Caenorhabditis elegans: one gene and its partner. The protein of the gene in region 2 interacts with the protein of the main gene of each other region in a pairwise test. Each region holds a gene or a part of one and is shown on either strand. Other genes may lie near its edges. The genes, in order: C18A11.1 and rpa-2.

Region 1 (3,613 bases), on a different chromosome or scaffold from region 2:
GCAATATTGGTTGTCTTGTGTGAGTTTTGACCATCACAGTGTTTACACGTAATGATTTTTAATTTTTTTTTTGATAATAGATTAATTTGTATTTCCACGTTCTCGTTTCATTCTCATTCTCATTTTTTATATGGCTTGGTTAAGTATCAAACAAATCTCTATCAACTTTTGCCTATTTCTAAGTGACATTCACAGAAGTGGCAAAACTTCTACAGTGCTCTAAACATCTGGACAAAGTTCGTGACAGTTGGCGAAAATTGGTAAAAGTTGGCAAAAGTTGGTTGAAAAATGGATAAAGTTGGTTAGAGAGCAGATAAAGTTGGTTGGAAAGTGGTTGATTCGTACGTATTCCCAGTTTTTTGAAATAGTGTTTTAATAAGACATTATTGAAAGAATTAGAAACGCATAGTTTAACATTTTCACCGACGGAGATAGGACAAAGAATGAAAGGAAAAACTGTTTTGAGGCAATTGGTAAGCTGATTAAACATTTATACAAAGCATACAATTAAATCGGTAATTATATTCTATTGGTTTCATTTACATAAAACGAAAATTGACGGTTAATGAAACTGTCGAAAATTGATAAGTTTGAAAATTGACGAAGACGACAATGCATAAATATCTTTTTTCGATTTACCTTTTTGTGAAAAGGAAAAATTTGGGTAGGACAGTTTCAATTTCATTTTGGTCGGATTTGAAACAATTTTTATTTAACTTTGGAATATTGGATGACAAAACATTTTATTACACAACTCATACATTTTTTACATTAACACAAAAAAATTCACTCAAAAACAATATTTTGGACTTTCAGCCACTTTCGAATTGCAGGCAAGAAATTGTCCAGTTCATGTACAGTGAATCCTTTTTTGAACGTTTCGCCGATGTCAATTTTTACATTGAAAAACTCTTCTGGGTGACTGCGAAAGTTGCTGAAAATTTGACTGTGAAAAAACAGTAGCATTGATTGAGTTTACCGTTTCATATCACATGCCCACCATGCACACAAATCTCCGGATCCCCAGTTTTTGACATAACTTTTAGCTTGACTTTGAATTTTCACTTGTTGGATTTTTTCGATGTCAATTTTCAAGCTTTGAGTTGTTGGAAAATAATACCATTTTATTTCCAAAGTTCCATTTGAAATCTGGAAATTATGAAAACTTTTTTTTTTTTTAATATTGAAATATGAAAATCAATTGATATTTTTAATTTCACAATTTGTCGTCTGTTTTTTTTTGATAATATTTTATTAGATCGATAAAAAAAAGTTTGTCTACTCACCTTGCACCACTCTTCCTCAAAATCGATCGGGGCTTTTGTCATTTTGCCAATACGTATGAACACAACCGATGAAATTGAAACGAATGACGAGACTAAAACGTATTTTATGTAGACAACCAGTCTATTTTGTTCTCGATAACGATGGTTCCGTATATTTTGTTCTTACTCGTGATGATGGGCAACCAATATGTTTACCTTTCGGTCAGAAAGTATTGCGAAATTTCCCGGGTTGAGAAAAAAAATTCGATAACAAAAGCAGTGAGTTTTGCTCCGCGGGGACAAAAGAAGTGTGGAGTTTGACTAAGATAAAGTGATATGCGGACATATGGAAAAGTGGTTTGCCTCATAGCGCTCTAATAACCAACTATAGTGTCTTTCTTTTTCTCTTATCAAAAAATTTTCTTAAAATACACGAATAATCATTTTGGCAGGTTTTGATAATATATTGCGGTTTGTGTGCGGGTTTTGCTTTGTTTAAAATAAATTATTAGAAAACGACAAAAATTTGGAAAAAAATCCGTCCAAAAAAGTTTTTTTTTGATTGGTCGTCAAAAAAAATGCAAAAAAAATTTTGTCGAAAATTCTAGATTTTTCCTACAGAAATGATGTACCCAAGTGTAAACTATTTTTACACATATAAATCATTTGAGTTTGAAATTTGAATCTCAAGAAATATTCAAAAAACTAAAAAATTATCCGAAAAAAATATATTTTCTATTTGGACGGATTTTTTTCCAAACTTTTGACGTTTTCTAATAATGTATTCTTAACAAAGCAAAACCCGCAAACAAACCTCAATTCAAAGCTGAAAAGAAGCGAGATCAGAAAAATGCCTGAAAAAAATTTTATATATTAATATATATATAACGTTCAGTTTTTTATTATTTAATCGACCAACGTGACTACTCGGCAAATTGCTCCTCCTGAAGCGCGACTAGATTACTGGTTCACGCTCCAATGACACGTGTTTTCTAGCTTCTTCCGCGCCAAGTTTGCGCTCTGATCGCGTTCTATCCGCGCGCACAGAATTTTTTAAAGACATTTTACAAATTTGGAATGCGCGCGGAGCAGACGCGATCAGTCTATGGGTAATCAAGTACTCTAGTCCCTAGTTGAAAAATTTAGCTATGGTTTAACAAGGGTAATCGTTCAACACAAAACAAACAATCAACAAAAAACTTCGTTGCATTTTCAATGTTCTCAGCCTGAAAGTTTTTTCTTCAAAGCACCAGAATTTAGAAAAGTCTTGTCTACATATATTTGTTCTTTGGCTTAACGTATTGGGTGGTATGACCTGATTATTATGAAAATGTTATGCATGACCTCTTTTTCAAAGGAAAATGATCTCCTTCAAATACCACATCCTAGTTTTCTCTTTAGTTTAGTTCCTCCAATTAGTGTTTTTACCAACTTTAAAAGTGACTTGGACCAGATCACGTTTCTCGACATTTTTAATGACCTTCTGAATTATTCTATTCGAATAAAGAGCCACCGTTGCAGACCAGCGAGTTCGGAAGTTGCAGTGTGCAAAAATGTAATTTCCTTTTCAACTATATATAAATTAATTCAATATGTTCAGTCTTGTTTAAAAAAACAAAAAACACATAACAACTTTTTATTTTCACTGACAAACGAACGGGAAAACGTAAGATCTTGAGAAACGAATGAATAAAATTTATTCCTCATCGAAGCGTTTGCGCCATGAACCGAAAAAAAGTGGTCGAGAGGAGCCGCTTTCAGCAAACGCCGACACTGGACCGTAGCCTTGAATCTGAAAATTGTGACTCTGTAAAAACTGCAGCTGAAAACTAACAGTAAATCATCTACCAACCTGTCTGGAGCGTTGGGAAGTTCTCCAGGATGGTTGATTGAAGGAAACTGAGTGAAACTGAAAATTGTGAATTTAGCTTTCATTTCAACACTAATTATGTTTTACCTTGACCACCTTTGTGGTAGTTTCAACTACCAAAACACACAAGAAAAAAGCGAGAAGAAGTTTGACGTTGAACATGACGGCGATGCGGCTCTACAAATGGGGTTTGATGTTTTTAACCTTATACAACTCGGCAAGAAAGTAGTGAGCCGGAAAATAAAATGACCAATAGAACAAGTATTTCTCGGGAAATAGAATGGGTTCTCCAGTTTTCAAGTAGGTGTGCAAAGTGGCACATAGGGTGGAAATAAGAAGGAAAATGATATCATGTGGGTGGATGGTGCATCGAATAATATCCATTGTTCTGTTTTTTACGCACAAAATACATATTATCTGATTAGAATACCATAAATAAAAAATCATGTCCCACAAGCTATTCATATGTTTTAAAAAA
Region 2 (3,801 bases):
TTTGCGTCGTTCTTCAGACCCTCACTGCTGCCTTCAGGTTAGAAATCAGGGCTAAAATTGATTTAGAAATTTAGAGAAAAGCTCTTTTAAAAAATTCAAAATTTTTCAACAAAATTAAATATTACTTTAAAAATATTTTTAGATGGAACTAACTATTTTCTATGTTTCTATAGTAATTTTTGACCAAAAAATTTGGAGTATCATACTTTACAATCTGATTACTTAATTTTCAGAGACGTCGACACGGACCGCGATGGAGTCATCACCGTCGGCTACGAGCAGTTCCTGACAATGGTCTTTTCATTGAAAATGTGATTTTAAGAGTATTTAGAGAACCAACCACAATCCATTTTCGACCTAACACCTAGCACTTCTACTAGCTTCCATTCGAAAAAAAGTTAAATTCAATTTCGTTTTGTTTTCAGGTAGCTCGAAGTGTGTTCAATCGTCTGGGTTAATAATGTGATTTGCCGTTCCTCATGCTCTCTTTCCTCCTCGGATTCTTCGCATCATTAGCGTCTAATTAATTATGTTCAAATTTACTAATAAACGCTTTTAAAGTATGAATCATTCATAGTTTCGAGTATCAAAAGTGAATTTCCCAGTGGGATGAAAGAAGGATAATGAAAATAATGTTACAATCAGCAGTTAAATAGCGGAAACAGTTTCCTCGTCGACAGTGGTGTAGACCAATCCGTTCTCGACCATCTCACCGACGCACTTACGAACAATAGAAATGTTCGTTTCTTGAATTTGCTCAGCTATCCACGAAACATGTCGACCTTCGTCACGAGAACCCTCTGGCACAGCCATCAAGACGGCGGTAATGCGCTCTCTGAGCACATCTCCTTGGTTCGCTCCCGTCATCACTTTTTGCGGTTGAGCATACAATCTCTCCTTGGTGTCCGATCCTTGCGAGCTTTGATGCGATGTTTGTGACATTCTGCTCTTCGGTGGTGCCAGCATTCCTTGGAAGCCATCCGAGTCGACCGACTTCAGTTTCTCGCTCACGTTCTTTTGGAAGAACAGACGTGCAGCTTCTGCCTCGAGCTCGAAGATCGTGAAATCCTTGTCGTCTTCAACTGGAGTGATGTTGAACAGCATAATGGCTGAAATTATTTGAATTAAGATATATAATTGAAGGAAATATAAACTTACTATTGTTTCCATCGAATCCCTTGAGCTTTCCGATGGCTCGAACACGAGTTCCCTCGACAATTGAAGAATGATCGAATGTCGAACCCTCATTGTCATACTTGAGCGTACGATATTCCATCTCCGTGTTGTTTGGATCACAGAGGTCGTACGTGTACGTTGTCCCATCCTGACTGATATCCTTCACAATACCGACGGTCAACACCGTTGCGAATCGGAAAGTCCCGACGACATACTTGTCATCCTGCGCAGAAAAGTGCTCGATCAGATTGGAAATCGTGACCGGCACTGGGAGCCTCTCGCCGAGAGTTGTAGCCTTCGAGTCCTGTAAAAAATATTTATTTGAAAGTATGATTTATCTCTTATTCTTACAGGCTTTCTGTCGGTCATAAACGACGACTCTCCAGCGGCCCATCCGTTTCCTGCGTTCTCGTGCTCGACAGTCTCGTTCCACATGGTTAGTAGTTTCTGGAAAGATGAAAATAGATTAGAAATGCGAGAAAAATGAAGGAAAGAAAGGGAAGGTGAATAATTAGCGTTTATCAACAGATTCCAGAGAGACAAGATGTGTTACATATTTTAGAAACACTGAAACATAAATTTTAACTTTTTAACAGAAAAATTTAGTAAAAAACTGATATGATGTCGAAAATGGAGCTAAAATTATGCAATACTTAGTTTGAACGGCCAATTTCGCGCGTTTCTATAGAGCGCGCTTACTTCACTAGGTTTCAAAACAAAATATTCCGCGAACACAGGGAAAACCATTAAAAAGAAAAATAAATCATAAAGAATTATTTACTCAGGAATTCAGTGTACATGTATTTTTGGATAATGTGAAAAATCTGAAAGTGAAGGCCAGAAAATTTATATGAATCTAACACTAAAGCACTGGCAAGATGAAAATATAAGCGCAGGAAGTCTTAATATCACAAAAAGACAAGCAACGATAAAGTGAATGAACTAAATTTTATGAAAAAAGAAGAAAAATGAGAGTGACAGCTCACTTTTATAGTCCTTGCGTAGGAGAATCACGTGTATTCAGCTCGACCCACGGCCCGGCGGGGGGTACATGGACGAGGATTCTCTACCGTATTCCAATTTGGCTGACTGCGTGCTCAACGTTGAATACTCAGTGTAAACTTTCGTACACCGTTGCGTACTGCACAGCGCGCATTTTAATTGACGACATTTCGCGAAAATTAACAGAAGATTTTTTTCGGAATTATAGAGCTAAAATTGAAAAAACTATCAGATTTTCATCGAATTTGTGAAGAATCGTAAGTATGAAGATTTGTTCTTCACGATATTCAAGGAAAATCGATATTTGGTTTTTCACAGACAAATTCTATCGCATTTCACTCGACGAGACCCGAAGAACTCGGGGGATGTCCAACTGGGGGGATTCCCAACTCGGGGGATTGGCCACGCCCACAGAACCGTGCCTTACAATACGCCCATTTCTGCAACCTCCGCACGGTTTTGAATGATGATTTTCTTCATTGTTTTTTGGGGGAGAAAAATCAATTTCGACTCTAAAAACTTCAATTTGAATTGTTTTTCTTCGTTTTTTCAGCCATTTTCGCAAAAAAAAGTATTTTTCAACCGTGACTTGTTAATTCGCCCTCCTTAATTCGTGTATTCCTTTTGTTAATCTCTTTCCCTCTCATATTTTATTAATTTTTTTAATTTCTAGACTTCGTCGAATCGAGGGACCATCAAAATTGCACGGATGAAACAAGGATGTGCTTCTCCAGTCCACCTACGTGAGTATTATATTCTCAAATTGTAGAAAGTAGGAAAAAAAATTGATTTAAGAACAAAAATTGAAATAGTTTAACAAAAAATTAATGAAATATCTTCGGATCGAACATAGATGGACTTATACAGGCATTGAAATCGTTGAAACAGCTATAATTTGCTGTCACTGCTCTTTTGAAGTCGGAATTTCTGTATAGTGGCGGGCGATCAGTTCTTCTTCGCAATAACCATGTTCTTTTCGATTGTACGTCTCTGTGAACGTTAAAACTCCAAACCGTAGACTTCTCAATTGAATTGTGTAGAATTTTGTAATTGGTATGGTGGAAAAGACGCTAGAAATTTGATTTTTGTTCACTTTTCCGTATCCATTAAGAGAAAAGTGTACCTGTAGCATTCATTTAAGCCAAAGGCCTCTAAAAACTAAGCGAATCTGATAATAGACGAGATAAAATCTTTTTTCATTTATATATCAGCGATGTCATTATGAAAGTTCTAATTTAAATTTTTCAGATCCGCCCGAGCTGCTCATCCTCCAAATTCTTCCGTTTTCATGACAAATTATTGTTTTTTTTGTTGAAATTATGTAATTCATTAAATGTAATATTATCCTTATCTGTAAATAATTATCATGATCAATAAAATATCGCTCTTAATGTTCAATGAATAGCTTGCAAACCAATTTGTACAATTATTTCATTGAACAATTTCCGCCGGCTCTGAAAAACATTTCATGGCAATTTTTCAGGTTATCTTATTCGAATTTTTTAAATAGAACTCGTTCTACGTTCTTTACTTCGTCTCCTCTCGTGTAAATTGTTCTTTCCTTGCAAATAATCGATTTTTACGCGTCCCCTTTCCGTGTAAATTGTTGTTTCACTGCGAAAA

Evidence for each region.
Region 1: the proteins of rpa-2 (region 2) and C18A11.1 interact in a two-hybrid assay, tested with the Caenorhabditis elegans proteins (one large-scale study listed by BioGRID).

The regions. Positions count from the first base shown.
Region 1 is NC_003284.9:8,067,372-8,070,984, reverse strand, and holds C18A11.1 (Activator of Hsp90 ATPase homolog 1-like protein), read right to left. Parts: upstream 1,658-3,613; 5' UTR 1,329-1,657; coding exon 1,287-1,328; intron 1,150-1,286; coding exon 980-1,149; intron 935-979; coding exon 787-934; 3' UTR 696-786; downstream 1-695. Other genes in the region: nssp-82 (Neuropeptide-Like Protein), read right to left, coding at 2,962-3,057, 3,118-3,174, 3,223-3,297.
Region 2 is NC_003279.8:4,768,114-4,771,914, reverse strand, and holds rpa-2 (Replication protein A C-terminal domain-containing protein), read right to left. Parts: upstream 1,624-3,801; 5' UTR 1,612-1,623; coding exon 1,528-1,611; intron 1,481-1,527; coding exon 1,159-1,480; intron 1,110-1,158; coding exon 649-1,109; 3' UTR 557-648; downstream 1-556. Other genes in the region: M04F3.4 (EF-hand domain-containing protein), read left to right, coding at 1-37, 234-311, 426-429.